Oreochromis niloticus: one gene and its partners. The protein of the gene in region 4 purifies or fractionates together with the protein of the main gene of each other region. This does not show direct contact. Links are inferred from orthologs where the notes say so. Each region holds a gene or a part of one and is shown on either strand. Other genes may lie near its edges.

What was found.
Region 1: the proteins of hsf1 (region 4) and plk1 purify together in Homo sapiens (affinity purification with western blotting; 3 studies listed by BioGRID and IntAct, with this or other methods). This does not show direct contact. The link is inferred for Oreochromis niloticus from reciprocal best matches to the Homo sapiens genes HSF1 and PLK1.
Region 2: the proteins of hsf1 (region 4) and hnrnpd purify together in Homo sapiens (affinity purification with mass spectrometry; 3 studies listed by BioGRID, with this or other methods). This does not show direct contact. The link is inferred for Oreochromis niloticus from reciprocal best matches to the Homo sapiens genes HSF1 and HNRNPD.
Region 3: the proteins of hsf1 (region 4) and prpf8 purify together in Homo sapiens (affinity purification with mass spectrometry; 3 studies listed by BioGRID). This does not show direct contact. The link is inferred for Oreochromis niloticus from reciprocal best matches to the Homo sapiens genes HSF1 and PRPF8.

The regions. Positions count from the first base shown.
Region 1 is NC_031971.2:12,088,805-12,096,991, forward strand, and holds the start of plk1 (serine/threonine-protein kinase PLK1), read left to right. Parts: upstream 1-5,087; 5' UTR 5,088-5,384; intron 5,385-5,476; 5' UTR 5,477-5,492; coding exon 5,493-5,855; intron 5,856-6,180; coding exon 6,181-6,349; intron 6,350-6,549; coding exon 6,550-6,694; intron 6,695-6,942; coding exon 6,943-7,036; intron 7,037-7,146; coding exon 7,147-7,372; intron 7,373-7,503; coding exon 7,504-7,546; intron 7,547-7,656; coding exon 7,657-7,754; intron 7,755-7,860; coding exon 7,861-7,938; intron 7,939-8,187. Other genes in the region: GTP-binding protein Rhes-like, read left to right, coding at 780-1,430. UniProt on the Homo sapiens protein: Serine/threonine-protein kinase that performs several important functions throughout M phase of the cell cycle, including the regulation of centrosome maturation and spindle assembly, the removal of cohesins from chromosome arms, the inactivation of anaphase-promoting complex/cyclosome (APC/C) inhibitors, and the regulation of mitotic exit and cytokinesis.
Region 2 is NC_031972.2:11,790,078-11,798,070, reverse strand, and holds the start of hnrnpd (heterogeneous nuclear ribonucleoprotein D0), read left to right. Parts: upstream 1-4,848; 5' UTR 4,849-5,221; coding exon 5,222-5,388; intron 5,389-6,365; exon of another isoform or gene 6,366-6,395; intron 6,396-6,746; coding exon 6,747-6,915; intron 6,916-7,271; coding exon 7,272-7,433; intron 7,434-7,551; coding exon 7,552-7,683; intron 7,684-7,993. Other genes in the region: enoph1 (enolase-phosphatase E1), read left to right, coding at 371-454, 1,767-1,868, 2,161-2,363, 2,519-2,651, 2,862-2,985, 3,289-3,428. UniProt on the Homo sapiens protein: Binds with high affinity to RNA molecules that contain AU-rich elements (AREs) found within the 3'-UTR of many proto-oncogenes and cytokine mRNAs.
Region 3 is NC_031979.2:19,593,627-19,601,104, reverse strand, and holds the start of prpf8 (pre-mRNA-processing-splicing factor 8), read left to right. Parts: upstream 1-4,346; 5' UTR 4,347-4,558; intron 4,559-5,246; 5' UTR 5,247-5,255; coding exon 5,256-5,400; intron 5,401-5,516; coding exon 5,517-5,685; intron 5,686-5,791; coding exon 5,792-5,956; intron 5,957-6,054; coding exon 6,055-6,273; intron 6,274-6,378; coding exon 6,379-6,591; intron 6,592-6,790; coding exon 6,791-6,916; intron 6,917-7,081; coding exon 7,082-7,187; intron 7,188-7,450; coding exon 7,451-7,478. UniProt on the Homo sapiens protein: Plays a role in pre-mRNA splicing as core component of precatalytic, catalytic and postcatalytic spliceosomal complexes, both of the predominant U2-type spliceosome and the minor U12-type spliceosome.
Region 4 is NC_031985.2:36,095,566-36,102,947, reverse strand, and holds the start of hsf1 (heat shock factor protein 1), read left to right. Parts: upstream 1-4,186; 5' UTR 4,187-4,474; coding exon 4,475-4,594; intron 4,595-6,335; coding exon 6,336-6,444; intron 6,445-7,337; coding exon 7,338-7,382. UniProt on the Homo sapiens protein: Functions as a stress-inducible and DNA-binding transcription factor that plays a central role in the transcriptional activation of the heat shock response (HSR), leading to the expression of a large class of molecular chaperones, heat shock proteins (HSPs), that protect cells from cellular insult damage.

The DNA of each region.
Region 1 (8,187 bases), on a different chromosome or scaffold from region 4:
CCACTGAACCTGAAATGGGACTTCTATGCTTCTTTTAGATAGGAAAATCAAAATAACTTCTTCGCAGTTCAGAATCATCATTTATTTTATACTGGGCCTTGTAGCAGCCCCTTAATTCATCCTCTGTCAAGTAACAAGTTGCAGCTCCCTTCTAGCTTTCTTTTAGCCAGCTTTCTTCTGACTGGCCACCCTTTACAAACACAGGGTTTGATCAGCAGGTGGGGGTTCTGTGCTCACAGCTAGAGCTGTATTTCTGCTGGTGAGAAGTAGAGTGCTGCAAGAATTACATTTTACGAGGAGGATCCAGAATGGTATAGCATCCCCATTGTTCCATTAATAAAAGAGGGGATTCGGATCATTGCAGTAAATAAGCAAACACAATGGTGGGAAGTAAAAAGGCTAACCATGGGTTGTAAATTAACTAAAGCCTCGACAGACGCTTGTTATTGTATGCACACTGTTGTGAACTGTGTTGTGGAAATGATTTATGATATCCGGGTTCCTGTGAAATACACTGGCATTGAGTTCCATGACTCACAAACGCTGCAAACAAACGCACGTGTTCGACTCTTTCACACATGTTGACACAAGCGCTGAAAATACAGTAAATCCATAAATCACTTATGTTTCCATGCTGCCAAATCGGGTGTGCTCCGTGGCTTTCAGAGTCTGAACTTGAGCGATTTTGAGCGGAGAACGACCGGGTGGGGTTGTATCGGTGGAGCAGCCTATAAATAGCCTGGCTGCATGAAGCTGCATAAAGCTGCACGTGCACCGGGATGGCCGGGATGTCTCCGTCAGGGCGTCCGAACACGGTCCGGCTTGTGTTCCTGGGAGCAGCGGGGGTTGGCAAGACCGCGCTCATCCACCGATTCCTCCACGACGGATTCGAGCACAAGTACACGCGCACTGTCGAGGAGCTTCACGTGCTCGAGTATGACACCGCGGGCTCTGAGGAGAAGATGCGGCTGGAGATACTGGACACGAGCGGCAGCTACTCGTTCCCAGCTATGCGGGAGCTCTGCATCCGACACAGCGACGCCTTCGCCCTGGTGTACGCGGCAGACGAGCCTGGCTCCTTCGAGGAGGTGCGTCGACTGCGCGCCGAGATTCTGGAGCTGCGCGGCGGCGGCAGGAGCGCGCCCATCACCGTGGTCCGCAGCAAAGCGGATCTGACCGAGAGCGAAGGTCGAGCGCCGGTTGCCGGTGACGCCATGGCCACAGTGGAGGCTGAGTGGGGCGCAGACTTCGTGGAGGCGTCCGCGAGCACGGGCAGAAACGCGGTCGGGGTGTTTAGCTCGCTGCTGCAACAGGTGAACCTGCCGGCACAACTGAGCCCCGCGGCGTGGACACGCAGAGACACCGTGCCTAGGCCCCGAGCTAGGAAGAGACCCTCGCTGAAGAAGCACCACAGCTGTGTTCTGTCGTAGAAACAGCTGCAGCTGGACTGCGCCTGCTCAGTTTCACACCTGTTCATGGGTGAAGGCTCCTCGGGTCTTTAATGTGTCTGAAAGCCACGGGGCCTGTAATACTCATAGTTTACGGGCAGCAAACGGGATGATGCACTTTATTTGAGTCCTATTTTGTGTGTACATTTTTATATGGTGTCAGTAAAATAACTTTGTTCTAAAATGTGTCCGGTGCTTCATTTGTAAACTTTCCACTGGTCTTGGCACATCTGTAATAAGTCTGTCCATGCGTGGATCATAAAGTTAAACACCACTGTGCACAAATGTCTGATGGGCCCTAGAGCTTTTTTCTTTCTTCGATAATCAGAATCATACAGGATTGTGATGGTTCACATTCATACAGGAATCACACACTGGCGATGGCACCAGTGTGTGAATGTGTGTGTGAATGGGTGGATTACTGGATGTGTAAAGCGCTTTGGGGTCCTTAGGGACTAGTAAAGCGCTATACAAATACAGGCCATTTACCATTTTACCATTTAAAGTAACCATCAAAGGGAACGTTTTAGTTTTAAATATATAATGAAAATCCTGACTTTTTGCACACACACATGTTCTTTTTCTCCTCTTATTCCCTTTGTCTGTTTGGTGGTCTCCTCTTTTTCCTCCTTTCAGCACTACTACAGTCCCGCTCCCGGATGAGTGTTGAAACAGTAGAGTAGAGCCCAGAGAGCTTTAATGAGAAAAAACACTTTTGTGAGGTCCCCACTTAGAAAATTAGTAAACTTTTTTTTTGTCAATAAATAAGTGAATGAATAAATTAATGGATAAATGATCTTGTGAAGGCAGCCTCGCTCCTTAATTAAAATTAGAAAAAGGCAGGTCAAATACAAAATAAAACTACTGGATTTTACCAGTTATAATTAAAAAGAATATGTATATCTATGTTTTGTTAAAATAGGAGTAAAGTTTGAGATGATACAGTTCTGGTCTTTTTTTTTCTTTTTTTTCATTTCATCTTCTCTTGGATGGGCCCCCAAATATACACGGGCCCTGCGGACGTGCCCAGAATAGCAATTGGCAATTGGTCTGCTGATGCTGTTGTGATATGGTTTGATCTACTTTTTTAGAGAAAATGGACACTGAAAATCAGTTACAAATTACTGTGACTATTCAAATTTATCCTCTGAGAAAATATTTCTGATGGGAGTCTCTTCCATTTATTCCCAACTTCCCGGCATTCCAAGCTTTCCAAGATTTACATCTTAAAATTGTTCCTCTGAGTTATTAAATTGATGTACAAAGCCGATGCGCATATTTTTTCTTTTTCTGTAATAATGAACAACAACTGCCATTTTTGGCTTAGCGTGAGATGGTGCATCATAAAAATAGCTCCTTTCTTTGCTTGAAACTGTGTCGTGACGTTTTAGACACACACACAGACACTTATATGAAGTAGAACAAAGGGGCTAAGCAAACACACTGGTCTCATCATCTGTCCTCTCTTCATCCACTTGTTCTCCTCTTATTTTCCTCTCTTTATCACCATGTCAGTTGTATAATCTGTTGCTAAGCAGATATTAATTGTGTCTGCCACAAAAGCATTAATATGAATGAGGAGCAGAGGCCCATATAGCACACAAGGGCTAAAGAACAGAGGCTCCTGACAAGGATGATTCTGCAGCATTACACATCAAAAATTTCACACTATTGGAGTAAAAGCTTTTGTTTATCTTTTACCAAGAAGAGTGAACAACAGGAAAATTAAAGTTTGAATTACTTTATTTGTCAGCTGCACGTGCGCAGAATAAAAGAACACCTGTGCTCTTGGACAGTCTTCTCAGTAATTTAGATAAGGATCAGATCAATAAAAAAGAAAACCAATATACACATCTTATAAAACAAGATGATAAAAATACAGAATAAATAAAAGCACAATGATTCAAAATACATATAAACAGATGGGTGACAATGATGTGATTAAGAGAAATCTCTGAAACATGCCATGTGTGTTTGTCTTGGATGAAGATGAATCCCATTATTTTCATACTTGAGAAACAACTGAGTGCACTATGGACGGAGGCTGTGATGCTAGAAGAGACTATTTCCATCACAACAGAAATGTTTCATCAGGCCTGAGATGAACACTCATGACAGCTAAGCATAGATTTACAGTAACCTTTCTGGGCGAACAGAAACACACACACACACACACACACACACACACACACACACACACACACACACACACACACAGGATAAGTGATCCACCAGTGCACCTCACTGTAGGGGTGGAGGGTTCAGAGAATATTACAGCACTATATATAACGTTTATCAGCTTTTGTAACAATTAAGGTTTTTGTAAAGCCAACATACCTGTTTTTCTTATTTTTATTTTTTTTATTGAGAGTGATAATGATTGTCATTTACCAGAACTAGCATTAGTGGTAATTGTAGAAGCAGCAGGCTAGAAGTAAAAGGCATTACAGGCAATGACGCAGAGCAAGGCTGTAGCCATGGAGTCAAGACTGGGGTGAAGCAAAGGCCTGGGTGGTTGGTTGATCATGACGTACAAGGTGGACCATGTTTGCCACAAATTTTGTTTCCACTCCACACAATTCTGGATAATTCTTCTTTCCATAGTTACAATTTCAGTGAAAAATTATTTACATTGCCTTTTTCATGAATGCTCTGCCTGAAGTTAAGTCTAGTTGGTGTTGCAATGACAATCCCATCAATAATTGTGTGGAACCATAATATATCCTGAATGTACACAAAAGTTTTAATGAAACTAATGAAACACAGACATTGCACTGACTAACACTCATCATACTTGATCCAGAAAAGGTTTTAATGGAAATATGGTAACACTTTTTGAACAATCCATTCAAAGAAATTCAGTCCTTTGGCCCACTGTATAACTACAGCCTTCAACTACAGCAATCTGTTATGGTATTGATATCAACATATTTTTGCTTTTCAACATATTTTAATATTGGGACCGTATAAAGTTATAGCATTCGGGAAGTTATTGGATAGGATATAGGCGTGGCAGTGCCCCCTACTGGCTAAAAACAGTAATAAAAATAGGTTGTGTGTTTTACATAAATGTACAGTCTACATGTTGTAGCTGGTTAGAGTTAATTAAACTGGACAACCTCACGACTGATAATTACGAAAAGTAGTATTACAAGAGTAATAACGAAACAATTCTTACCGAAAACTAGTGAGGTCAGCGTATAAATAAGCAAAGGTTATTGCAGTGAAGTAAATCTACAAATTATACTGAGTCTCATATAAGTTAGCCTATAGACTGCTACCTCGACTAAACTAAATCGGTTACAACAATCCACGATGACGACTATTTATTCAGGGGTTTTAGTTAAAAAAAAGAAGAAGAAAAAGAAAACAATCAAATGACCATTAAATTCACGTTATCTACTTGGGTAAAAAAAAAAAAAGAAGAAGAAGAAAGAAAAAAAACGGACGTATGTCACGATTAAAGCCCACCCCGACTACATTTCCCATCAGTACTCGCTTAAAGGAAACAATAAGAAACCAACAACAGGGATTCAGCCAATAACAATGCAGAATGTGACGTACTCATTTAGTTATTGGCTATTTTTGCCTTAATCTCCCATGATGCTTTGCTGCAATACCTTAGAATTCAAATCGAGCGGACCAATCACAGAGCACCGTAACGACCGAGGCAGCATTTTAAACTTTTAGGAGAAACTGTTGTCAAAAGGCAGGACGGGTTAACGCTGTAGCCATCGACGGACAACTCTGGCGATTACTTTATTGAATATTTTCGTTTTTCAAAAAAGATTTATAGTCTAGTTGCACTGCGTTTTAATTGTCAATGCAATGTTTAAGTAAAAAAAGGCGTCTAAAGTGTATTAGAGCTAGTTTTTATTTAAATCCAGAAGTGCAGGGAGCACGCTAGCTTCCAAGGCCAAACTAACGTCAGTTAAGGTAGGGTTAACAATACTCTCTTTCTTGGGGTTTATCATTAATACCTCGATTGCGAAGGGGCTTTAAAACGTTTCTTTTTACTCCCGGCTAAGTGCACTTTAATCCAAAATGAGCGCTGGTGTTGCAAAGCCGGCGAACCCGATGCCGCACGTCGACCCAAAATCGGCCACTCTAAAAGAAATCCCTGATGTTCTGGTCGACCCACGCACCATGAGACGATACACGAGGGGGAGATTCCTCGGGAAAGGTGGATTTGCAAAATGCTACGAAATCACAGACGTGGAGACAAAGCAGGTTTTCGCCGGAAAGATCGTGCCCAAATCGCTGATCCTGAAGCAGCACCAGAGGGAGAAGATGACTTCGGAAATCTCCATTCACCAAAGCCTCAACCACCCCAACGTCGTGGGCTTCCACGGGTTCTTCGAGGACGATGATTTTGTGTTTGTCGTCCTGGAAATCTGCAGGAGAAGGGTGAGTGCAGAGAAAGTGTCCTTTCTGTTAACTGTGGACGGCCAACGGTTACCCTGGCGGTCTCTTCCCATGGCCTTCCCGTCACAGTGCAGGAAGCTTGGCCTGATTAAAACCACAGGAGCTCTGAACATAATTCAAATGAGCCACTATTCCTAAACTCAGTATTTTGATGGCATTAGTACTTTTTTAAAATCTTTTCTTTCCACACTGACATGGTTACCGTCAGATGTACTTGATTTTTGTTAAAAATGTGCCTCAGTACTGCCTCTCTGCTGCTTTACTGTCTCAGTGCCCCAGTTTCAAATCATTTTCTTCTCCACTTCAGTCCCTGCTGGAGTTGCACAAGCGTCGTAAGGCTGTCACAGAGCCCGAGGCCCGATACTACATGACTCAGCTGCTCAAGGGTGTCCAGTACCTGCACAACAACAAAGTGATCCACAGAGACCTGAAACTGGGCAACATCTTCCTCAACGACGACATGGACGTCAAGATAGGTAATTTGCTCAGCTCAGAATGATGGCAGGGGCTATAAATGTCAACTGGATATATTAGCAACCTCAAACTAACCTGCTGGTTTTACTAGAAAAGGCACACCCAGGTCCTTGCGTCAGTAATTTCTCATACTTCAAGAATGAACTTTTGCACACAAGTGTGCCTCTTTACAGTTATGTCCCCCTTTTTTCTTTTAAAACAGGGGATTTTGGCCTTGCCACAAAGATTGAGTTTGATGGTGAGCGGAAGAAGACCTTGTGTGGAACACCTAACTACATAGCTCCTGAAGTGCTCTGCAAGAAAGGCCACAGCTATGAAGTGGATGTCTGGTCACTTGGGTGTATATTGTAAGTCTAAATACACAAGCACACCTGGAAACGGAGGTGTTACGGCTGATGCCAATGCCAAGCTTTGCACATCTGCTCATGTTTAATTAGGGTTTTTTGTCTTTTTACAAAATGCAGCCCTATGAGTCCTAATGGTTTTATATTTTACCCCAAGAAATACTTCTAATGATGTATTAGAAAGTTAAAAGTTGTTTAAAAAACAAAAATCTGCACAGTCACTTTAACCTCCTTCTTGTCTGAATTCTCAGGTACACTTTGTTGGTGGGCAAGCCTCCATTTGAGACCTCCTGTCTGAAGGAGACCTACAACCGCATCAAGAAAAACAACTACACCATCCCCTGGGTGAGGCGGTTTAACACGATGCTCCTTTTTAAAGAAAAAAAAGTTTGTATACAAAGATGCTTTTTTTTGTTTAAGTCGTATCAACTTAAACGGCAATTGTCTTCGTGCAGCACATCAACCCAGCAGCGACCGCCCTCATCAAAAGGATGCTGCATGCCGATCCCACCCAGAGGCCCACCATTGCTGAGCTGCAAGCGGATGAGTTCATCACGTCCGGCTACATCCCCTTGCGCCTGCCCACGACTTGTCTCACGGTGCCCCCGCGGTTCTCTATTGCCCCTTCCACAAGTACCGAGCTCAGCCAGAGGCGCCCGTTGACAGCTATAAATAACAAAGGTAATCCTCCCAGCAGGACTAGAGTTGAAAGAAGCCCCAACTCTTCAGATGTTTAAAGCAAGGCTGAAATATTGGAGTTGAATTATTTTAGTGTTTGCAGGAATGTTAATGATACGGGTTTGTGTTTCCAGTAGGGACAGAGAAGGTGGAGATGAAGGACGAGCCTGCACCACGGTGAGATGTTTGTCCCACTTGAAATAATGGAAATATTTATAAAGGACAGGTTTGCTTTCTGTGACACATTTATGTATTTGGATGTTTTGACTGGTGTAATCTGCGTGTAGGGAGGTTGAACCGTCGGAGAACCACCTCAGAGACATGCTGCAGCAGCTCAACACCATCATTGCTGCCAAGCCTTCTGAGAAGGCAGTCGTCCGCCAAGGTGAGCGCTGACTTTTTATGACTGTGTTGTACATTTTATTAAGCTGGAAAATCTATGTGTCTGTGTCAGTGCTTCATACAGAGATGTTAATTCTTTTAATAAACAGAGGAGGCAGAGGATCCTGCATGCATCCCCATCTTCTGGATCAGCAAATGGGTGGACTACTCTGATAAATATGGACTGGGTAAGTATTAAACTTAGAGTCCACATCCATCCAGTTAGCTACACTTGAACGTTAAAAAAACAAAATAAAGGAAACACAACTGTGATATTGGCTCATTTATGAAGTTGGATCGATCAAGTATTTGTATTTTGGGGTCTAATAGTGAACTCTACAGAGAATTTATAATTTCACTATGAAAATTAGTAGTCATTGGCCTCCATCGGTGGGCTGGGGTGAGCAAAATCTCTAACTTCAGTGTTGTGGAACAAT
Region 2 (7,993 bases), on a different chromosome or scaffold from region 4:
AATGGCACAGACAAGTAAAGTGGGTGTTGGAATATAGATTTTAAATAATGTTTTAAACAAATAAACTCTTCTTGTTGTTTTACTTGTTGTTCATTATTAAGGTACCGCCACCTACTGGCGTGGAGTCTGAACTGACGGAGCTGGCCATGTGTGCATATTACTGCCCTGTGTGTTAGCTGTGAAGTGATAGCTAGTTAGTGGTTTACCACCAGATAGATTTGTTAGCGCATGCATAATCTGTGGTCTGCTTGATCTGTTAGTCTTGTAGAAACAGCGAGGACCGGGTACAGCCTGGTTCTTCCACCGCGGTGCTGCTAATTAGTAAGCTAACGTCAGCTAACAAGAGCAGCTGCAGACTCACCCAGTAAAAATGGCCACTGTTTCTATTCCTGCCTGCACTAGTGCCCTGCTGCTCGACATTGAAGGCACCACCACACCGATTACATTTGTGAAGGTAAGCAGCGTGAAATGCAAACAAAGTCTGCACGTCCGGTTGTGCGGCTATGCTAACAGCTGCCTGTCACCGGTAGCACATAGCTAAACCAACAGAACTTCACAGCGTCTCTCTATCGCCTGAATGTAATGCAATTTTATTGTTTTGCTTCTACAACTGTCTGCTTTTGTCCTTTTATTGTTTCGTCCATATTTGCTTTATATAACCAGAAATGCCGTTTGACAACGAACACACCTAACGCTGCGTTTATGTCACACAAGAAGTGTTGTAATTAGCAGTTTCATGTAATTTTTTTTTTACTTTTATGGAAGCCTCTTTGCTTTGTGTCTTAGAAACACAAAGCATGCGTTAGAAACAGACATAGACATGTGGAGTCAGGCCAGTTTTCTAATTACTGTTTAGCGTCACGATGTAAGTATGCAGCTGTTGGAAGTCAGTAATGTGGAGGTCAATTCCCGCTCTAGATCATTCCACACGGCGTGAAGAAACATGACAGTTTATTACGGTTCGGCGGTGGCAGTGTGTTGGTAATCAGTGGGCAGCTATGGACAGTCCGCCTACCTGCAGACGGTCCACACCGTCTGTCCACTGTCCATACACTATCTGTGTGTTGCCAAATGGAGGCAGTGTGCTACTCTTGCTTGTGCTGTTGTTGGTCCTTCAGCCTGATGTTAAGACCAAATGTTAAAACCAGTGGAAGGTGTCCTCTGTATTCGTCATACTTTTTTCTTCTTTTTCACTTAAATTTTTGCGTTTTGACGCATCTCCCATGCCTGGTAGTCTCCTGTTGCTCCTGATCATTGGTTTACCAGTCACCATTCACAATGCTCATCAACATTGAGCTACACACTGTTGGGTTTTTCAAGAACTGCATGGAAGCACATTTGCGTGGGTTAAAAAAACTCCTCTCTGGGTAGGCAAATGTCTATGCAAACGGACACAACAGCTGTACCATAAATGAAAGAAAAGGCTTTCAAAACAGGAATCAATAAAAATTGTTCTGTTAGTATTTTCTGACTAGAGGGTCTGAATTAGAGCCTAACTGATATATGTATGTCCTATATTGCCATCGGGGAAGTTGCAGAGTGCCCTCCGGTGGAGAAACTATGGACATCAGCACTGGTTGAAGGGTGTTTCTACCATCTCTTCTGTAGTTTCTGTTATTAAAATTTAACTTTATTGGCTGCTATAAATACAGATTGGCAGATAGGTGATATCGGTCTGCTGACAAATCACTCAGGCGTTAGTGTGGGTTTTATGTTTTGATTTTATTTTATTTTTCGCTGTCACATGTCCATATTTTCATTTCTAGGATATCCTTTTTCCGTACATCAAAGAGCATCTTGAGGATTACCTGTCCACTCACTGGGAAGAAGACGAGTGCAAACAAGATGTTCATCTACTAAAGAAACAGGTAGCTGGCAAACATGTTTTTAAGTGTGATTCCCTACTGGAAGAATGAAATCCAGGCTGTTACTCAGCCTGGCAGGAATGCAGCTTGTTATTTATCAGCAGCTAGTGAACAAAGGAGGGAAAACTTTTATTTGGGTACTGAAGAATTCTTATATTTTCATCTTCTATCCTTTATTTTCTGAATTGCTTGCCTTTTTTTTTGATGAATATTGTCGTCCCTGTTTTAATCCACCAAGTAAACCAGGGAACATGCCTTAGCGCTCTTTTAACAAAAAGGCTGACTGTCACGGCAGATTGAAGAGGACATGAAACAGAACCGGGCGTGTCCTGTGCACACTGTGGACCAGACAGTTCACACAGATGAGGAGAAGGCCATTAGGGAAGTAATAGAAAATGTTCTGTGGCAGATGGCGGCAGACAGGAAGTCCACAGCACTCAAACAGTTTCAGGGTCACATGTGGAGGGCAGCTTATGCATCTGGGAGAATCAAAGGCGAGTAAGTACACTGATCATTTTCCTCACTTTTAAAATTCATATGCGCTCTGCTCAGGTTTGGGTCATAATTTGGCTTGTTTGTCAGAGGTTGAGATAAAAAATAATAATAATATTAATAAGCTGCAGTTTTTTTTTTCCATCCCTTTTTAAAATCAGGGTCTATCAGGATGTAGTTCCATCCATCAGAACATGGAGAGCACGTGGCCTGAAAGTCTACATCTACTCCTCTGGAAGCGTGGAGGCACAGAAACTTCTATTTGGATACTCTGTTGAAGGAGATCTTCTAGAAGTATGTTCCCCTCTCCCACTTTAGTGCAAACACAACCTTTGCTTGCACATAGTTTCTATTTTCTTTTTCTTTTATTTATTTATTTCTTTTATAAGAAGGTTAAATTTTTTGTATTGGAGGGGCTGTACTTGGCTAAAACAAATTGTAAGCTCTTGTTGTTTATGTTATTGATATTGTCTAATCTGATGGTTTGATTTTTTTTCTTTTCAGTTATTTGACGGTCACTTTGACACCAGTATAGGGGCTAAAGTAGATGCAAAGAGCTATGAGAGAATTACAGAGAGGATCGGCTGTCAGCCTGAGGAAATCACATTCCTGACAGACGTCACCCGGGGTAAGTATGTTAGCAATGATAATATTCTGGGTTTGGTCTGCTAGTAAGATCACATCAAGACTACCAGGATGAATAGATCGGTGGGGGCGAAGGCAGTGATGGGCAAAGTGAGGCTTTGTGAAACACTGAAATGTTCAAAGTAGTCGTTTTGTGTTGAGGTTTTGAAACCGTCTGACACCCGTCTCCAAAGAGATTCCTATTGGCCACTTTTGTTTATTGTCACGTCTTGATAATAATATTCTGTTAAGGGCAAAAGACAACAGTGTACTTCCTTTTTTAATGTGACTGCATTTGTCATTGTAGAGGCCAAAGCTGCAGAAGAAGCCGGCATTAATGTTGTGGTGGTGGTCAGGCCTGGAAACATGGAGCTGACAGATGAGGAGAGGGCCCATTATAACCTCATTACCTCCTTTAGCCAACTTCAGCTTACAGGACATGCTTAACAAAGAGTTAACAAAGGATGACTTCGTGATGACCTCTCCTCTTTTTTTGCCCCCACCTTTTTTGCAATTCTAGTGTTTTATTGTTTTGTTTTCTTTCTTCCACATTGATGGGTGACGAGGGACTGGTGATGCTGCTGGGACTGCTGGCAATCAATGGGGCTGATCATGAAATTCCAGTCTTTAAAGGTGGCTCACTATGCAGTTCTTTCAGGATGCCTTTCTCATGAATAGAAACGGATGCACCAAGCATTATAGGAACACAAATGGGACGTCATTGTCATTGGACCATTTGATTGAATGGGAAGCTGTTGCTTTACATTTACAAGCCTGAAGGAAACTGCACATGACATGTGAGACTAGCTTTTTACCTTTTAGACGAACTGTATTTGACTGCCACTCTCCAAATGTATATGCGTGAACTGTATTTCTTAACCATTTTGTAAATGTTCATGTACCATTTTCCTTCCCCTCTACCCAAACAAATGTGTTGCAGACGTATGGAGTCCTGTACAGTTAGTGAACTGTCTCGTTTTAGAAAGTATAATTACAGTATAGATGCACTCAGCAGAATGAGAGTCTTCATTTGAAACTTTGTTTGAATGTCTTAATTAATCCCCTCACAGGTGAATGGTGTCTATTTAAATGTGCCATACTTGTTGTTCATTTGTAATGTTGATCTTGGGAAGTGAAAATACTGAAACATTGCCAGACTTTGTGTGAAACATTGTTGGTATTATTCAGGAAATTGACTTCTAATAAATGCCTTGTCTCCCCCAGAAGCCTGTCTTCTTCTTCAGTCCAAACTGTTTTAAAAAAGTGCTTTCAAATTGAACAGTAAGGATCACAAATGATAAAACCACAAAAAAGAAAGGAAAACAAAAAAACCCTTAAAGGTGCAATTTAAAACTGGTGCTTTGATAAGTAGCTTGTGTCAACATAACAGTGGTTCGTGCCAATAGGTAAGTGATTTTAACAATTTTTGCTCAAGATTAGTTAAAAAAATGACAAAAGTCTGGCTCCTTGGAAGAAAAATATAAATAAATGAGGGGTGAGACTTTTGCACAGTACTGTAGTCATTAAATTAAATTTTATGACTTAGATTCTGCATCTTATGATATTCTATAACATGCTGATGGGTGGGTTGGTTATTTGATTCATCAATCATGATGAATCTACTTTTTGTCTTTGGTGTATTATTGACCAAAGATTTGTTCAGAGTATAAATTACTAACTGAAAAATGTCTTTTACATAATTCTACTTTAGTATTTTTCTGTTTACTTTGCTCAGTTCCTTATTTTTGCCTCAATTACTTCCTCTTTTTCATCTGTAGTTTGCAAACTGCTCCACAAAAAAGAGGAAATTAAGCCGAAAATGTACTATTTGTTACATAAAGAGGGGGGCGGTCTAGCTTTCACGTCGGTTTGTCAGCCGGTTTTAACCGACGAAGAAGAAATGACGGCGACGAAAACAAAGCGACGCTCATAAGTCACCTCTCAATATTATCGTAACTCAACCTAATTTTTTTTTCATACCGAGCGGTGTTTTCTCCAATTTCATACTAACCCCACATTGGATTCACGTAACCTAACCAGTTAGCTTGTTCTAACTAGCGACAGACATTTTATTTAACAGCATATGATATCAAAATATTAGCCAGCTACTAGCCTGTCATCAGCTGACAGAAGCCAGACCGTTAGCTTAGCTCCAGCAGAGATATCTGACGTAGCTTGGATTTCAGAGCCCTTTAGGGGTGAAGCTTTAGTTTAAGACTTGTTCCAGAAAAAGCCGAAACATGTCGGATGATTATGAATTAAGCGACGACCCGAACATGATGAGAATGGAGGAGGATGGAGAGGCGAACAGTGACGACCCGATGTCAGCAGCGGGGGACTGTGGCCTTATGGGGGGCGAGGCCGAAGGATCAAGGATCGACGCCAGTAAAAACGAGGAGGATGAAGGGTATGGTGATGATGAAGGGTGGCTAGACTCAGGTTCACTGTTGATCTCTGTTGATAATCGAAAAGATGCTGTAGCTGCAGGACCGGATTTTTGCAGGACCTGGCATTGTTATTGTTGGGTACTACTTCTGCATTCATAAACTAAACATTACACTAGAACGATTTCCGAGGTGTTTGAGTGTTACCGGTTTGCTATTTTAAAAGCTTGGGTTTTAAAAGGATATGTTACACTAAAATAAGTGATATTTTCGAATATCATTTATTTTGAATATTTGTTATTATTTTCAGTTTTCTGTTAAGAAAAACAGCTTTGCCAGTTGTTCAGAAAATCAAAGTACAGATGCATGTACAGAGTATTGGTTTGTTATTGTGCTGTGGTGTGACAGAAGATGATGCCAAGAATAGGGTGAAGTATAGGCAGATTATCCGTTTTAACGACGCCTAATGGGAGCAGCAAAAAGAGGAAGATTGCGTTAGGTTACTATTCATGGATATTGGCTAATAATTAGCAAATGTTCAAGTGTTGGCAATATCAATCATTAGTGGAGCTAATGGTTCCAAAATTGTATGAAGAGCATACATTACAGTGCAGGATTTTTGTTTCCCTTTTTAGAAAAGGCTGAGAGTCACAGTGCTTTTATATCAACATGGTCACTGAATCCCTTAATTAAAAAGAATTAGAACAGGTTCAATTTAGGGAATATCTTAACATTTTTTCACTGCAGTTGTAAACAAAACCATCTTTCTTGCTAACTGGTTGGTTGCAGGTCTACAGTACTTCACTGGTGGATTTATATGCATGGTTTTCTCTGCAATAAAGTATTCTGATTCTGTTATAGAAAGGGGTTTCGGACTTCCACCATTTAAAAATCACCATCACTGTAAAATCACAAAACAATTACCCCCCGTTTTATGATTATAGTTGAATTTACTCAAGAATAAATACATTTCTCTTTATCAAATGGTCACAAACAACAGGAAGATGTTCACAGGCTTCTGTTAAGAAAGGTAACAGACTCTTTGCTCTATTTTAATATGGACAAAACATGTTTATATGTGAAGGCCCATTTTGATTTCGGAAAAACCATTGTATGTGTTCACATTTTGGATGCACATAAAAGATGAAATCAGGTCCTCATTAGTCACCTAATGAATGGAGGATCTGCTGTGTTTTGATATTGTATTGTCCGGATGTAAATTGATGATAAATTACTTATTAAGCAAGTTACATAGATTACTTCTAGCAAATGAGGGGACCTTTGAGCAGCCCAGCTGTTTAAAGAAGCTTGCATAGATGTCTTATAAAGTAGTCTGCACACATAGACACCACCTGCTTATTTTTGTGTGATTTGTCAACAGGAAGATGTTTGTTGGAGGCCTCAGCTGGGACACGACTAAGAAGGACCTGAAAGATTACTTTTCAAAGTTTGGGGAAGTTGTAGACTGCACGTTAAAGCTGGACCCCATGACTGGACGGTCAAGGGGTTTTGGGTTTGTGCTCTTCAAAGAACCTGAAAGTGTTGATAAGGTATTATCCTGTTCCCATAAGTGGATGTGTTTTTTTTAATTACCAGTGAATTTACTTTTCTAACAGACATGAACTTGCTGTGATTGTGCAGCTTCATGTCTGTGTGCGTGGGGGTTTTTTTCAGTTTTATTTAATGATTAGCAGAAAAAATTCATTTTTGGCCTTTTTGGCCTGTCATACAGACTTAAATTAGAATGAATGTAACTACAGTACTGCGAGGTTTATGAATAAAACATATAATAAAAGTTTGGTCTCAATGATGCCCAAACAATCAAACATCCATTCCGCTAAATCAAGATGAAAGATGAAATATTCACGTATGTAAATTTTTGTCAATTGTCTATATTGCTTTACAGGTTGCCTCACAGAAAGAACATAAACTTAATGGGAAGGTCATTGACCCCAAAAAAGCCAAGGCCATGAAGAGCAAGGAGCCAGTAAAGAAGATCTTTGTTGGTGGCCTCTCTCCGGACACTCCTGAAGAGAAAGTCAGAGAGTATTTTGGTGCCTTTGGAGAGGTTTGTGACTTATGAAAATTAGGTTTTGTTTTAAATCTCCTGATCTTTTTCCCCACTTGTTCTGTGTGGCTCTGCAGGGCTCCTATTTGCCCATTAAATTATGTCTTAATGTGAACAGGTGGAGTCCGTTGAGCTTCCCATGGAGAACAAAACAAACAAAAGGAGAGGCTTCTGTTTCATCACATTCAAGGAGGAGGAGCCAGTAAAGAAGATCATGGAAAAAAAGTACCACAATATTGGATTAAGCAAGGTACAGTCCCTTTTTTTTAACCTTAGGTCCTATATTATGTATTTTTATTTTTCAGAATTTTTTTATATGTAGAAAAAAGTCTGCGATACATATGTTGAAAAGCTGCGTGTCTTCTCTCACTCAGTCTCTCCCTAACTTCCTATCTCTACTACAACTAAATAAATGAATTATTAATACATTAATTAAAAAAAAAACTGCCAGTTTTTCCGAACTGAGGCCACTCTCATTGTCTTATCAAAGCAGCCAGACTCCACTTATAAATTTTCTATCACAGAGCAACCTGTTGCTTTACTGCTATATCAAAAGGTTC
Region 3 (7,478 bases), on a different chromosome or scaffold from region 4:
GAATGTTTTTGTTAATAAACTGGCTGTTGTTTTTTTTTCCCCCACAATTTTAATTATAAGCTAGATATATTTCTACTAATGGAATTAGTTTGCTAACAGCAACAGGGATGAGTCAGTGAGTCAGCTGCGCTTGTGAATCATGATTCACGAGTCAGTAAAGTGATTCTCGAGTATTGAACGATTCGTTCACGAATCGAACATCACTAAAGTGGAGTGAAACCACGTAATGACAACGTGGAGATGTGAGCAGGACAGACGGAACAATTGACGGAAAAAGTGTGGACTTTATACCAGTTCTTAAATTGTGTTGATAGGCCACGTAAAACCAGAGTTATGATAAAAATATATGCAATGTTTGCTTTTTTTCCCTGAATACTATCGTTGTTTATATTTACTGCGGGAAGAAACGGTAAAAATGGCGTTTTATAAGGAAAACGCTCGAAAGGACTCTCCACCTGTGAGCAAAACCAAAAAAAACCCACCCTTTTCTATTGGTCGAAAAATGTACCGTGTCAACCAATTAAAAAATGATATGGCAACATGGCATTTATTGTTATGAAGGGGGGAAGTTTTAGGAGTGACGACAGTGTTTTGAGATGTGAGAGATTTGCGACGTTTAGCGCAAATCTTGTGTAGTTAGTGTGTAGTAAATGTTAAATGGCCTGTATTTGTATAGCGCTTTACTAGTCCCTAAGGACCCCAAAGCGCTTTACACAACCAGTCATCCACCCATTCACACTACACATTCACACACTGTGTGTAGTGTAGTCAATTGTTTTGTTGTGTGTGTCAGAACAATGAGGCGACTGCCGAATGTTACAGGTGTTACAGGAGTGATACATCCTGTTATCAGGCCTGCGGGTATCAGGCTGTTGTTCTCCTTTATCTCATAGTGGACAGAAATTGTTTTTTGCAGTGGCACAAATAATTTGTATGGCATCAAATTTGATGCAGAACAGCTGATTGTTCTGTAAATAGTTTGAAATGTTTATTTTTTAAAAAAAAATGCCCTGGCTGCATTTTTAGGTAAACAGCTGCAAAAAACTTTGTTGTTTGCGCAACACTTGTGTAACTATATAATTAATTGCCCAACATTGGTCATTATATACTGTATTTTGCAGACAGAGAGTTACAGGACTCTCTCCCAGACCATAGACTCATACTCATCATACAAGTCAGAGCTTTATATAAAAAAAGAAAAGAAAGAAAGTTGAGTTTTCAAGGCCACTGGATATTTGAAATTGCTACATGATGATGTCAAAGGAGTTTGCAAAGAAAAGCGTCTGGACTTCTTTAAGTTGCTTGAAGACGTTTCACCTCTCATCCGAGAAGCTTCTTCAGTTCTAAGGTCAAATGGCCGAGAGTCATGATGACATGATGATGTGTTTCCCTTTTTGTGCACTGAAGCTGGCACGTTCCCTGAGTTTTTCCAGCAAGATGGTGCACCACCGCATTATGGGTGCCAGGTCCGAGCATTCCTAGATGAACAGTTTCCTGGAAAGTGGATTGGTTGTCGTGGGCCAGTTGAATGGCCCCCAAGGTCTCCTGATCTGAGCCCCTTAGACTTTTATCTTTGGGGTCATCTGAAGGCAATTGTCTATGGTGTGAAGATACGAGATGTGCAGCACCTGAAACTACGGATACTGGATGCCTGTGCTGGCATTTCTCCTGCGGTGTTGCCAGTGGCGTGTCCAGCGGGCCACCCCCCCAACCAGACTGGCCACCCCAGGTGCCACCCCGAAGCTAAAACAATAAAATTCAATGAAATGTCAAATGTACGATTATGTTTTCACAGTGAAGCTCAGATATCCAAGTGTAAGTGAATGCAGCATCAGCTTCTGCGCTATGAGCATCATGTTAGCAAAGGTAGGAGAGCCAAGCATGAAAGACGGCACCGCAGAAAACAATTTTTCAGCGAAAGATTAACAGGTTAACATAGCTGGACTGGCCATCGAGCATATCGGGCATTTGCACGGTGGGCTGATGACTTATTTATTTTTTTTGTAATGAACAATGAGAGGTGGTGGATTGGCCAGATGCTGGCCGATGTGTAAAAATAACTTGTTGTTTGGTGGTGGCTATGGCGGAGCTTCCACAGAGGCCAGCAGGTGGATGAGGGAAGGGGAGGCAGGAGGAGGAGAGACCCGAGGCAGCCGCCGGTCCGAGTGTCAGGTGAACTGAACTTCAGGTAAGAAGTTATGACCTGCAGTCTATCTGGTTCAGATATAAACCAAGTTTAGGTGGAGTTTATTTTCGTTGTGCTGACTTTTTACAGTCAGTTACAAAAACTCTTACTGCGTGCTAGCTAGCATGGCGGAGTTTCTATACAGCTGGGTGGGTGCTGTGATGTTACTGATAGTGAACTTTATTTTATTCATAAGGTTAGTTAGTAGAGTTGCCAACAGCTCCTTAAACATGGAATGGTCCCTCATTCAGAGAAAATATTATACGTTTCGTATTGAGCTGAGAAGAAACACAGTTTGTCCCGGACTTCAGCAATAATGAAAAAAAGACACAAAGCTGGAGTTATTCTGTCTTTACGCTGCACAGCTGCCTCTTCTCTCATTCTCTCCCCTCTCTCCTGTTGCTACTTCAATCATGAAACTGATCAATGATCAGCTGATCGGCTTTTCTCTCGTGTTTGTTTATCGCCCACTTTGCACCAGAAAGAGGAAACCGGCGTATGTCGCGCTAAACAACAGCAGCACATTTAAGCTTGATCAGCTGTTGATAGAATTTATTTAATATTAATTTCTAGTATCAGCTGATGTTTGCTGGAGCCACAGCTGTAAAATCTGCTGGTCATGATATCGGTTTGGATATGAGGTGAGAGGGAAACATGAAGATGAAACCAGGAGATGTCCTTACTGAATCATCAGAGCTGAACAGGTGATGGAGAAACAGGTTTACCTTTTAGGTGACATGAATGAGTTGAAGGGAAGTTATGAACTGTTTCTGAGAGACCAATAACACCAGGATCCTTTTCTGTGTAGCTGACAGCTGGTAACTGTGCAGAGGCGGGTCTAGCAAAGTTATGCCAGGGGGCCAGGTAGGGCATTAACAGGGAAAGGGGGGCACAAAGAAATACTTTTCTTTCTTATTCTCATTTAAAATATCTAGCTTTTATTAAATAATTATCTGAATCTTGCGAACAAAGTTTTTATCTGACGTAAAATGTATAGAAATCATACATATACCAACAAGACTTTACATCACTGTCACAACAGCATTTGTTTTCATTCAAAGGCTTTATGGCTTTAATACCCGGTGGGCCGGTCTCTGGTCAAAATGCCCAATTTTTTGTCCCAGTCCAGCCCTGCAGGTTAATACTGGCCGTGTCACCATGCCAGCTGACTGTATTTCATCATCAGCCAGTGTTGTTCTTTATACATCAATATTACCAAAGTTTACCATAAGGCAGCATAGAAAGTATTTACTTGCTTTCAGGTTTCATTCAAAAGTTAGTCTTTTCATTTGTTTCCCCACTTTTTTCCTGTTTCAAAATCAAACACCAGTTTGTGAGAAGATTATCTTCTTTTTTTAATAGGCAGATAAAGTTTTGCATTGGCATTGGCTAATTTGCCAATTGTATGTTAAAAATGTTCGTATTTTAATATTCAAAAATGTTTTTGCCCAAAACATATGTGCACTATATTTCCATAAAAATACTATGCAAATATTGCTGTCCTTGAATGCTGAATAAACAATGACAAAGCACTTATTGTATCTCTTGTACTTTATCAACGCAATATCTAAAAACTTTGCACTATAGTGGTTAAAATCTCATTCTAATAAGAGTTAAAAGCGCATTCGGTTATTAGGTTTATAGGGTTATTGAATTATGGTTAACGGTTGGTAGAAAGTTCTTTTTTAACATTATCTGCCAATTACATCTGCCACCCTTCTCCAAATCTGTACCCCTACCTGGCCCCCCCCAACAAAAATTTTCTAGACACGCCACTGTTACCTGCTATGTGACGTCTGGTCTGGCAGGCTCTTGTGTTTGTAGTCCCTATGGAGTCCCTAGGAGTACAAGGGGCAAAAAGGAAATGACAAAAGAAATAAATGACCTCATGTCAGAAATAAAACAAGAAGCAAATAACTGTAATGAAATACTTTGAATGTGATTAAATAATACAACACATCAGCAAATCATGTTTTTGTTTAAGCCACAAACTTTACAGGACTCAGTATATGATCGCTGACGATCGCACTCCAACACTGCAGGGGGCAGTAGTGCGCCGGAAACATGATCATCCGGGTATTCTCAAAAATTGCGCTTGTTTAACGTCTACGCATATTTTCTGACGTAAAGCAGATTCTTTACCGGTGGAGAGAAATATCGGACGTAACCGCCGTCTGTGAATAGTACTGAAGCTCGTTCATCGTGTGTCCGCTGTCGTGCGTCGTGCGTTTATGCAGTTTTGTGTTAGCGCACATCAGCCCAACACTGAGGCGGAAAAACACGGAGAATAAGAAAGAAATGTTGTGCTAGCTGACTGTGTGCGGATTAAGGCTTTATCCAACGATAAGAAACGCTGGGAGTGAAGTAAGCGAGGTACGTGTTGTTGAATGCATTCTGTTATCGCTTAGTTTTACCTCTCACTCAATCGTTAGCCACCGTGCTAGCTTTAGCAGTTGGCTAAGTTGCCGCTTCCTCCACGCTTGGCCTAATTAATAACTAGTGTTGCAGTGTGAATTACAATGTGTTACATGTAACATAATGTAGCCATTTATGAATGATATCCCGAGTTTACGCTGTTTCTGAACGGGCTAACGACAGTTAAACGCGGGTAAAGTTCGCCTTGCTGTTGCAGTTTTGTGCCATCCGGGAGGCCATGTTAGGCTAACGTAGCTAGCTCATCAACTATGAGCACGAAGATGTTGAAGCTACACAGATTAGTTAATGTGCAATAAATGCATTTTCTACCGAATTAAGAAGCTACTTATTATTTTTGAAAGGCATTTTTCTCCAAGGCCATTCTATTTTCCAGAGCTTGCAAGGCATTAAGCACACACGTTCACTTTGTGGCTTCTGTTATTTAATCTGTGGGTTGCAGGAGCCAGACAAGGAATTCATGTGCCAATGTAATAAGTTTCTGATCAGTCTTTGTTTCAGTTAAGTTAAGTGTAAGTTGGCTTGTTTGACATGTAAAGCCTCTCTCCTCAGGGTTTTCATTATATACAGTTATAATCAAAAATCTCACTTATTTTCATACCTTGTTTTGTGTCTTTGTTTTGGATAGTGAGGCACCATGGCAGCTGCCTTTCCTTACAGAGGCGTCCCTGCAGCGATGCCACCCGGTGTGCCACCAGGGGTACCACCTGCTGTGCCGCCTGGTGTGCCCCCTCCTGCACCTGTCCCAGACTACATGTCTGAGGAGAAATTACAAGAGAAGGGTATGTTGTTTGTATTGACTAAAGCAGGACTTCCATGTTTTGAGCTTTTAGCGAAGAAGTTTTCACAAATAGACAAGATTAACTTCGCGATTATTAAATGTCTTTCAACTCTACAGCAAGAAAATGGCAGCAGTTACAGGCAAAGCGCTACTCAGAAAAGAGAAAGTTTGGGTTTGTGGATGCTCAGAAAGAAGATATGCCACCTGAACATGTCCGCAAGATCATCAGGGACCATGGAGACATGACCAATAGAAAGTTTCGCCATGACAAGAGGGTCTACCTTGGGTAAAGATGACTCCTTTAACTCTTTTTAAAAGTCTTAACAAAAGTCGGTGTGTTTTCTTCTTGATAACATCTTCATATGTGCGTTCTGTGTCTGTCTGTTGAACAGTGCCCTCAAGTACATGCCCCATGCAGTGCTGAAGCTGTTGGAAAACATGCCAATGCCTTGGGAACAGATTCGAGATGTGCCCGTGCTTTATCACATCACTGGAGCCATTTCCTTTGTCAATGAAATTCCTTGGGTCATTGAGCCAGTCTACATTTCACAGTGGGGGTAAGGGAGAGTTTCTACTGCTGAAAACTTTCAAGCCAACTGTGCTCATTTCCATTCAATAAAACTTCAATTTGTCTCTTTCCCGATTTTAATCCCAGCACCATGTGGATCATGATGCGTCGTGAGAAAAGAGATCGTCGGCACTTCAAAAGAATGCGCTTTCCACCCTTTGATGATGAGGAGCCGCCACTGGACTACGCTGACAACATTCTTGATGTGGAACCCTTGGAGGCCATTCAGATGGAGCTTGATCCGGAGGAAGATGCTTCAGTTGTGGACTGGTTCTATGAACATCAGCCCCTCAAGGACACAGCCAAGTAAGCAGCCATGGCTCTCTTCACAGACAAAGATTTTAAGTTTTGCATATTCAACTGATGTGTTGCTTGAAACATTAATTGATGATTTATCTTTGTCTTGCTCAGGTTTGTGAATGGCACCACCTATCGTCGCTGGCAGTTCACACTGCCCATGATGTCCACACTGTACCGTCTGGCCAATCAGCTTCTGACAGATCTGGTTGATAGAAACTACTTCTATCTGTTTGACCTGAAGGCTTTCTTCACATCCAAGGCTTTAAACATGGCCATCCCTGGAGGGCCAAAGTTTGAGCCGTTGGTCAGAGACATCAACCTCCAGTATGTTCTTTCACCCTTTTAAAAAATGAATATTCTAAAGACTTACTGTTATTAATGTTAATAAAGTTTTTATAGTTTCGCTTTCAGAATTTAAATATTTCTTGGAAATTATTTGATATTGCTGTTTTAATCCAAACATAACGTGAGAACAGATGCTGGCTGTTTTGTGTCCTAACTGGTTCCTCTGTATCCTCTGTAGGGATGAAGACTGGAACGAGTTCAACGACATCAACAAAATCATCATCCGACAGCCCATCAGGACAGAGTACAAAATCGCCTTCCCCTACCTGTACAACAATTTGCCGCACCACGTCCACCTCACCTGGTGAGAACTGCTGTTTACTTGAAATGCTGGCTGACTGAAAAATCCTTTTTCATTCAAGACAGGAGAGACATTCATCACTTATAAACATCATAGATTTGCTGCATTATTTTTCATAATGGCTATATAAAAGCAACACTTGTGATGTTTTTGTTTTGTTTTCCCCAGGTACCACACACCAAATGTGGTTTTTATCAAAACAGAAGATCCCGATCTTCCCGCATTTTACTTTGACCCGCTGATCAACCCCATTTCACACAGACATTCTGTTAAGGTAATGCACATTATCTACTTATCTCCCTTTGGTGAATAACACCCTGCATCACAGTCCTCTTACAAAGGCGCACTTGCATTGGACTGCTTGCCCGTGCGTAAGAACTGGAGGAATAGTAAAATGAATGGTGACTTGTTATTATTGGCTGCAGCTGCAGATCACCTTTCACCATTCAGATATCTCTTCTAGTTATTTTATAGTTTGTTGAATTCCAGCCCTCCTGCCCTTAAAAGTGATTCACTGTGTTTCCCGTTTCCTCTCAGAGTCAGGAGCCTCTGCCCGATGATGATG
Region 4 (7,382 bases):
TATCCAACAACATTAGACTTGTTCTTGACCTCTTTGATTATGCAGATTTTTGTAGGGTTGATAGCTTTATCTTATTTTTAGATTTCTGTAAAGCATTCAATACTATTGAACATAGTTTTATTTTTCAGGCTTTGGACAAATGTGGTTTTGGCCCTTACTTTCAGAATGTTATTAAAACGATGTACAAAAATGCTAATTGTTCCATCAAATTTCATACAGGTACGTCCTTTAGGTTTAAGTTGAACCGTAGTATCAGGCAAGGCTGCCCCATCTCCCTATATCTGTTTCTCATCTGTGCTCAGCTCCTCTCTGACTATATTAAACTTAGTCCCATGAAAGGCATTAGAATTGCAGAAAAGAAATATTCATTAGTCAGCTTGCTGATGATACCACCCTCTTTTTAAAAAGTGCTTCACAGATGCAGATAGCCATTAACACAATTGATGCTTTTTCTGTAGCTTCAGAACTCCACTTAAAGATCGGTAACTGTGAACTGCTTGCCCTCAGAAACTGTACCAGTCCCTCTATTGCTGGCATTCCAGTGACAGAGTACATCACTTACTTGGTATCCTCATTAATAAAAATCAGCCAACATCAATTTGGAACTTTATTCCAAATTTAAAAAAAATAAAAATTGGCGATCTTAACTTTGTTTTACTTACAATATTGATAAAATCCCCTTAAAACTGTCCAACTTTCATAAACAGATGCGTCTTTCCTGGTTGTTACTTTATAAACACAACTTTTCTCTGCGCAGATACTATATTTGGAATGACAGAGACATTTTATACAAACACAAATCTTTATTTATAGGTGACTGGTTTGTTCATGGGATTCATCTTGTTGCGGAACTTCTTAATCCAAATGGAGCTTTACTTTCTTAGATATCTATCTCTCTGTCTCTCTGTCTCTGTCGCTCTCTGTCTCTCTCTCTACATATATATATATGTATATATATATATATATATATATATATATATATATATATATATATATATATATATATATATATATGTGTGTGTGTGTGTGTGTGTGTATGATCTGACCCCTCTACCACTGATCCTGCTGTTACCTCTGTTAGACAGATCTGTTTTCCCAAAACAACCCAACTACTGGGACCTGGAATGGAAGAAAATTTGGACCATACCACTGAAATTCCTGTTAACCAAAAAAGTAAAAGAAATATCTTTAAAATAAAATATTCATCGTTTTTAACCCACCAGAACTTGTACGATATAAAAAGACATTGATGCTAACTGTTCATTTTTTCACTGTCAGAAAAAGATATTTCTCTCTTATTTTGGTCCTACTTATGCGCTAATCTTTTCTGGCAAGATGTTTGTGCTTTTGTTGTTTCTTTTATCTTATCTTTGTTACGGAAAAATATTGTTTGGCTTTTTTGATTGCCCTGCAAATAGGGCAAACAAATTTCATTTGATTAATTTACTAATCTTAAAATTTCATATACATAAATCCAAAATTTCTAATGCAAAACCGTCTTTTCAATGCTTCATAAATGAAACCAGACAATATTTTAAAACTATACAACATTCCCATAATATAAAAGCAATAAAACTATAAATTTATGCTCCTTGTTTGGTATCTTGTGATTCAAACCCTAGCCCAGAGGTTCCCAAAGTGTGGGGCCCGCCCCCTAGGGGGGGCGCAGAGCCATTGCAGGGGGAGCGCGGTATGAAAATAAACAAAGGTAGGTCTCCCCAGGGGCCCGTTCTTCGTACCTCGCTTACTACATCCAAGATCAAATGACACATCCAAGATCAAATCATCGCGCTAACTTTGAGCTCGCTAATCCGGTTCTCCGAACGCACCTGTTGTTGACGATTAGTATAGCTGGCTGAAGTAATCTGAGATCACTGGGTGGCTTTAAAGGGGCTACGCATCGATAGTAGAAACATTGATCGGCAACCCTGTGATTGGTCGGCGAAGATGTCGAAGGAGCGCGCGCAGTATCTCACGGCAGCAGAGCAAGAACTCTTGATTGAGGGATAGCAGGAGTTTCAGAGTTTAATTAAAACGCAGGGGAACACTGCAAAGGCTGCAAAAGCAAGGAGAGAGGGCTGGCAGAAAGTTGCTGACAAATTAAACTCGTAAGTGATCCGTGATATTACATTATATCATGTGATATTATATTATACCACAGTATATTATATTACATCATATCCTCTTTCACATTAGAGCCACAACAGGACCCACTAGAACATGGGAAAAAGTAAAAGTGAAATATAAGAATATTCTACAGAATGGTAATATTTATCACTTATATTGCTTTTAGTCTATGACAAGAGACCCTGGAATAATCTGTTTGTTTATAACAGCAACCAAGAAAAGGGCAGAGCAAATAAAGACAGGTGGTGGTCCTGCACCCCCTCGTCACACCCCTTTTTGTACTGTGACATTTATTGACATTGTGGGTTTTTATGTGTGTAGTTTGAATAACACTCCATCACTTTTACCTGTTCCCATGCAAGGGGTGACTGAAGCATGCACAGTAAGTCGGGAGTAAGTATATATATAGATATATATATATCTATATATATATATATAGAGGGAGAGAGAGAGAGAGAGAAAGGGGGAGGAAGAAAGTAAATAATACCCTCACGGGAGAATCGATATCTCTCTATGAGCACACCGTCGCGCTGAGCTAAAGGATCCCGTCTATCCCGCAATATACGCTAAATTCTGTAAACTCTCCTTATCAATCTTGCACCTTCCTTGCTCGCGTACAAACGGACAGGACATGGCTGCGACAGACTTCCCAAATCCACTTTCGCTTTTTTAGCCGTGGTCTGTCATCTTGATTGCACGTAGTAATTTACTATTACTACTCTAAAATATGAATTACATCTGACATGATCTACTACATGTAATAGAATGGTTAATAGTACATTTCCCTTTTTTTCGGAAATGACCTGTATGTATCTGTATGCAATCAATAAAAGAATCAAATGCTGCATTATCTTTAGTTACATTGATAATATTTATTTATGGTAAAACAGTGGAGAAATGTCGCTCTTGCTTTCATAAAACTGCAGCGGACATACCTGAGTGGCCGCGATCTAATCCTGTTTACATAAAGTAAACCTGCTCCCGAGCAGGCTTACTCTTACGGATCTGTTGCTATGACAGCAAGTCCCAGATGAGCTTCGGAGAACCGAACGATCCAAGATCACGCGAAATCGTCAACATTCAAATCCGGCTAACTTACTTAGCGAGGTACGAAGAACGGGCCCCTGCAGAATTGGTTTTCCCTGCGTCGGGAGCAGCGCTGGGCTCTCCAAATCACGGACAAACAGTATCCCACATTCTTGATTTTTAGTTCAGGAACACTTCTTGTAATAACTAACTACTCCTGACATTTTGGACATGTTAGCTCTTTATACAGTAAAGTTACAGTGGGATACAAATAATATCAGGCTGATCCTGCCACAGTTTGTTCCCCCTGTCCAAATCACGGACAAACAGTATCCCACAGCTGTTTATGTTTTTGAACCCATTTTGCACAGAGAGGCATTTTTGAAAAATGTATTGATAGCAATGTTGAATATTATTACACAGGAAAAAAACAACTACACGTAAAATAATTACACCATGACGCCTCTGCCTTTCTAAATGGAGGGACAGTAACTGCGTGTGTATATGTAAGTGTGTAAAACCTGAAGATAGAGACAAAATACTGTTACTGTTAATCTTACTATCTGCCATTCTGCAATTCATCTCATCTAAACAATAACGTGGCGCACACCGTGATGTGAAAAAAGGCACATACCTTTGACGTTGCGTGATGAACTCTGTATTCCTCGTCCACACGTAAACGCAAAAACGGAGTTTTAAAAAATCTCCGTTTTCAGTGATTCGAAACGCCGTTTACGTGCCGACGAAAGGCCCAAACGCATAGAAACAGCTGCGTTTTCAAAAATACCCATGTAGGTATGAACGTAGCGTAAAAGAGTTACTAGTGTATTTTATTTTATTTTATTTTATTTTATTACTACCTGTAATTTATCGCAGGATGTATTTGTGCGGTGGTGGTGGGGGGGTGTCTAATTGTTATTACACGACCACCCCTGACATTGTCTTTTGCTCATTTAAATCTGTAATGTCTGAATTGCTAATGAAGCTTAAAATAAAAAATAAAATCCGCCTTACTGCTCATCACATCACAGCGCGACAGAACGTTAGGGTTACGTATTGTGCTTACGCCATCAGACCGCGCTGGGCAGCTATCTGCGCAGTTGTGTTTTATCGGATTTGCGGAGTTATCGCGGCTCTAAGTGAAATAAAGTTCGGCACGTCTGTTTGCAGCCCCGCGGGGAGCTCTGAGTTCAGCAGCGGGACCAAACCGGCGCGGTCCGAGTCAGATCGGGGACCCGAGTCGTAGTTCGTTGTTTTCTTTCTGACGCAGCTAGCTGTTAGCGTCGTTAGCTCAGGTGTGTGCTCGATTTTTGTCTCTCAGATGGAATATCCCGGAGGAGGGGGAGCGGTGCTGAGCAGCGGGAACGTCCCGGCCTTCCTGACCAAATTGTGGACCCTGGTGGAGGACCCGGACACCGACCCGCTCATCTGTTGGAGTCCGGTACGCACGATAACAGCTAACAGCTAACGCAGACAAGTTTAATTTTATTTACACAGCAGAAACAGACACAACTTTATTTAAACTGGAATGTAGACAAGTTTGTTGACAAACTTTATTTACTGACTAAAAAAAAGAGGTCAGCTCAGTTAGCTTAGCTTCAGTGAGCTATTAAGGCTAACAGAGCTCACGTCAGAGGTCAAACGATATCAGACATCATCAGCTAGTCGGTAAATTATCAGTTGACAGTTGTTTTTCTGACAAACTGATTCCAGCAGCTGTTTTGGAGGTTGGCATAAAGCCTGAATTCAAATAAGCTGATGACTGCCTATGATGTCACTGTAGTGTCATAGCCCACACCTTGTACAGCTGCAGGTGTTAATTTCAGGTTGCACTGAAATCGGTCACTTATCACCAAAAGGTCTCCATCTTTATTTTCCTAATTTTTTTTTTTTGTTTGTTTATTTGTTTTTTTTTATTGCATAACTATTAGGCTCCACCCACAGCTGAAGGTCATGTAACACCAGATTAAAGAAGTGTCTGAAGTGTAATTTCCAAGTGTAGTTTAAAAAGGAAAATGCACCTTTAATCCATGGTTTTCATTACTGCGACACGCCCACCTGGAGGGCAAAAACAGTACTGCGGTCCTTTTCTCTCCACCTCCCTTTGAACGTCTTCTAGTTTAACTAGAAACCAAAATGCCAGATAGTTGCTGGGCTATCGGATGCAGTAATCAACATTTATTTACAACTGCCAACTGGCATTGGAAAAAGTTTTTTCTATTTCTTTTCCATATGGGCTGCCACCCACTCCAAATGTCCACCTAAGTGGACATGTAAAAAAACTATTTGAAAAATACATGTTTAAGAAATGAAGTTCAAAGATCTTTTTTTCATGCCTAAAGATGAATAAAAATACTTAAGAAAAAAATCCTGATTGAGGTTGTCATAATTCATGCATGAAAGGGTTAAGCTAGCTATGTAGCACTTACTTTTGCTTTAACAACAAACACTTTCTTGTTCTTCACCTCCTCCTTTAAATGAAGCTGCCACGGCAGGATATGGATCACAAGTCCCCCAAATTAATGGTTTCTCTTTATATCTTTATTTGGATCCATGGAAGAAAAACAAAGAGTTCACTTTCATCTGCAGTGTGTTCTGACAGTTCTGTTTAATCTATACTGATGTATAGATTACTGAGTTCCAATCAGTAATCTATACATCAGTGCCTGATGTGCAGGTGCAAAAAACCCTGAAAGTGTTAAAATAATCAATAAATTTTGAGCTGCTCAGAAACAGTCTGCTGGAGAGCAGACAGCTGAGATTAAAGTGTTAGCAGTGTGCTCTGATTTTCAGATCTGTTCCTGGAGATTCCTGAGCGTAAGAGCGTATATAGTCTCTTTTTATCAGTTGATTATAAGGTAAATGCAATGGTTCTTATACATTCCTTAATACTCAAGTACTCAAAGTGCTTTATACCCCATGTCTCATTCACACACATTCATACACTTTTTTTCAACCTGCGTGCTTTCTGTCTAACAGTCACAAGCTAATGAACGCATCAAAGAGGACCCTGAGCTCAGGGTTCAATATGTTGCCCAAGGGTACTTTGCCATCCAGAATGGAGCAGCCAGGGATTAAACCACCAACCTTCTGATTAACAGATGACCTGCTTTGCATCTTGAATCACAGCCACCACAATAATACAGATTCTTCTTCTTTTTTTCTTTCTCTTGTTGTATAAGAGTGGTACCAGTTTCCATGTGTTCGACCAGGGGCGGTTTTCCAAAGAAGTTCTGCCAAAGTTCTTCAAGCACAACAACATGGCCTCTTTCATCCGCCAACTCAACATGTGTGAGTAACCAGCAAGGAATCATCAGTGTGTTAGCCCCACCTCTGAACAAGCTATCGTTCAGAGGTGGGGCTATCACTATTTGGCAGTGTAACAGAAGGTTAGATGTTTTTGTTATTGATTTATTTTTTGGGAAAGAAGATTCATCCAATCAGGCGTGCTTTGTGAAGAAACATTGAGATATAAGTCAAATGTCTGGTGTTTAGCGGCTTTTCTTTGCTGCCGTAATTGTCATAGCAGCAACAACCAGTCCTCACAAGGCAAGGTAGCCTGCAGTTAACATAGCAGTTAATGAGCTAAGCCAGTGGTCCCCAACCTTTTTTGCGCCACAGACTATTTTATGTCCGACAATATTTTCACGGACTGGCCTTTAAGGTGTCGCGGATAAATACAACAAATAAAACGAGTATCAGTACCAAAAAAAAAGAACATTTATTCATAACACACAGGAAAAGACCCAGGGAAACAGAGTTACCGATAAAAACAGATAAAAACCCTGAAAACCATAAATTTCACACCCGAGCCTCAACTCTCATGGTCCGATACTGGTCTGTGCCCCGTAGGTTGGGAACCGCTGAGCTAAGCTACCGGTTTGTGTATATCAAGCTGATCAGTCATCACGACGATCTTTGTGCATGAGCAGCTTCTTTTTCTCCATGTCACTGAAGAAGTGCTAGTTGATTGGTATGCTGAAAAGCTGAACTTTTCTCAACATTCAGCAGAACCCTCTTTAAAAAAAGTAGGATAGAAAAAAAGGACCGGCCCACCTGTGCATGCTATACCTCTGTCACTGTGCATGCAAAGGCTTCTGGACTATGGAAGAACCAGAAAGAGGAGCTGTGATATTAGCGAGTATCCACATCCATTATTCATGGTGTAATGGTATTTCTCCCAGATGGTTTCCGTAAGGTGGTGCACATTGAGCAGGGTGGTCTGGTGA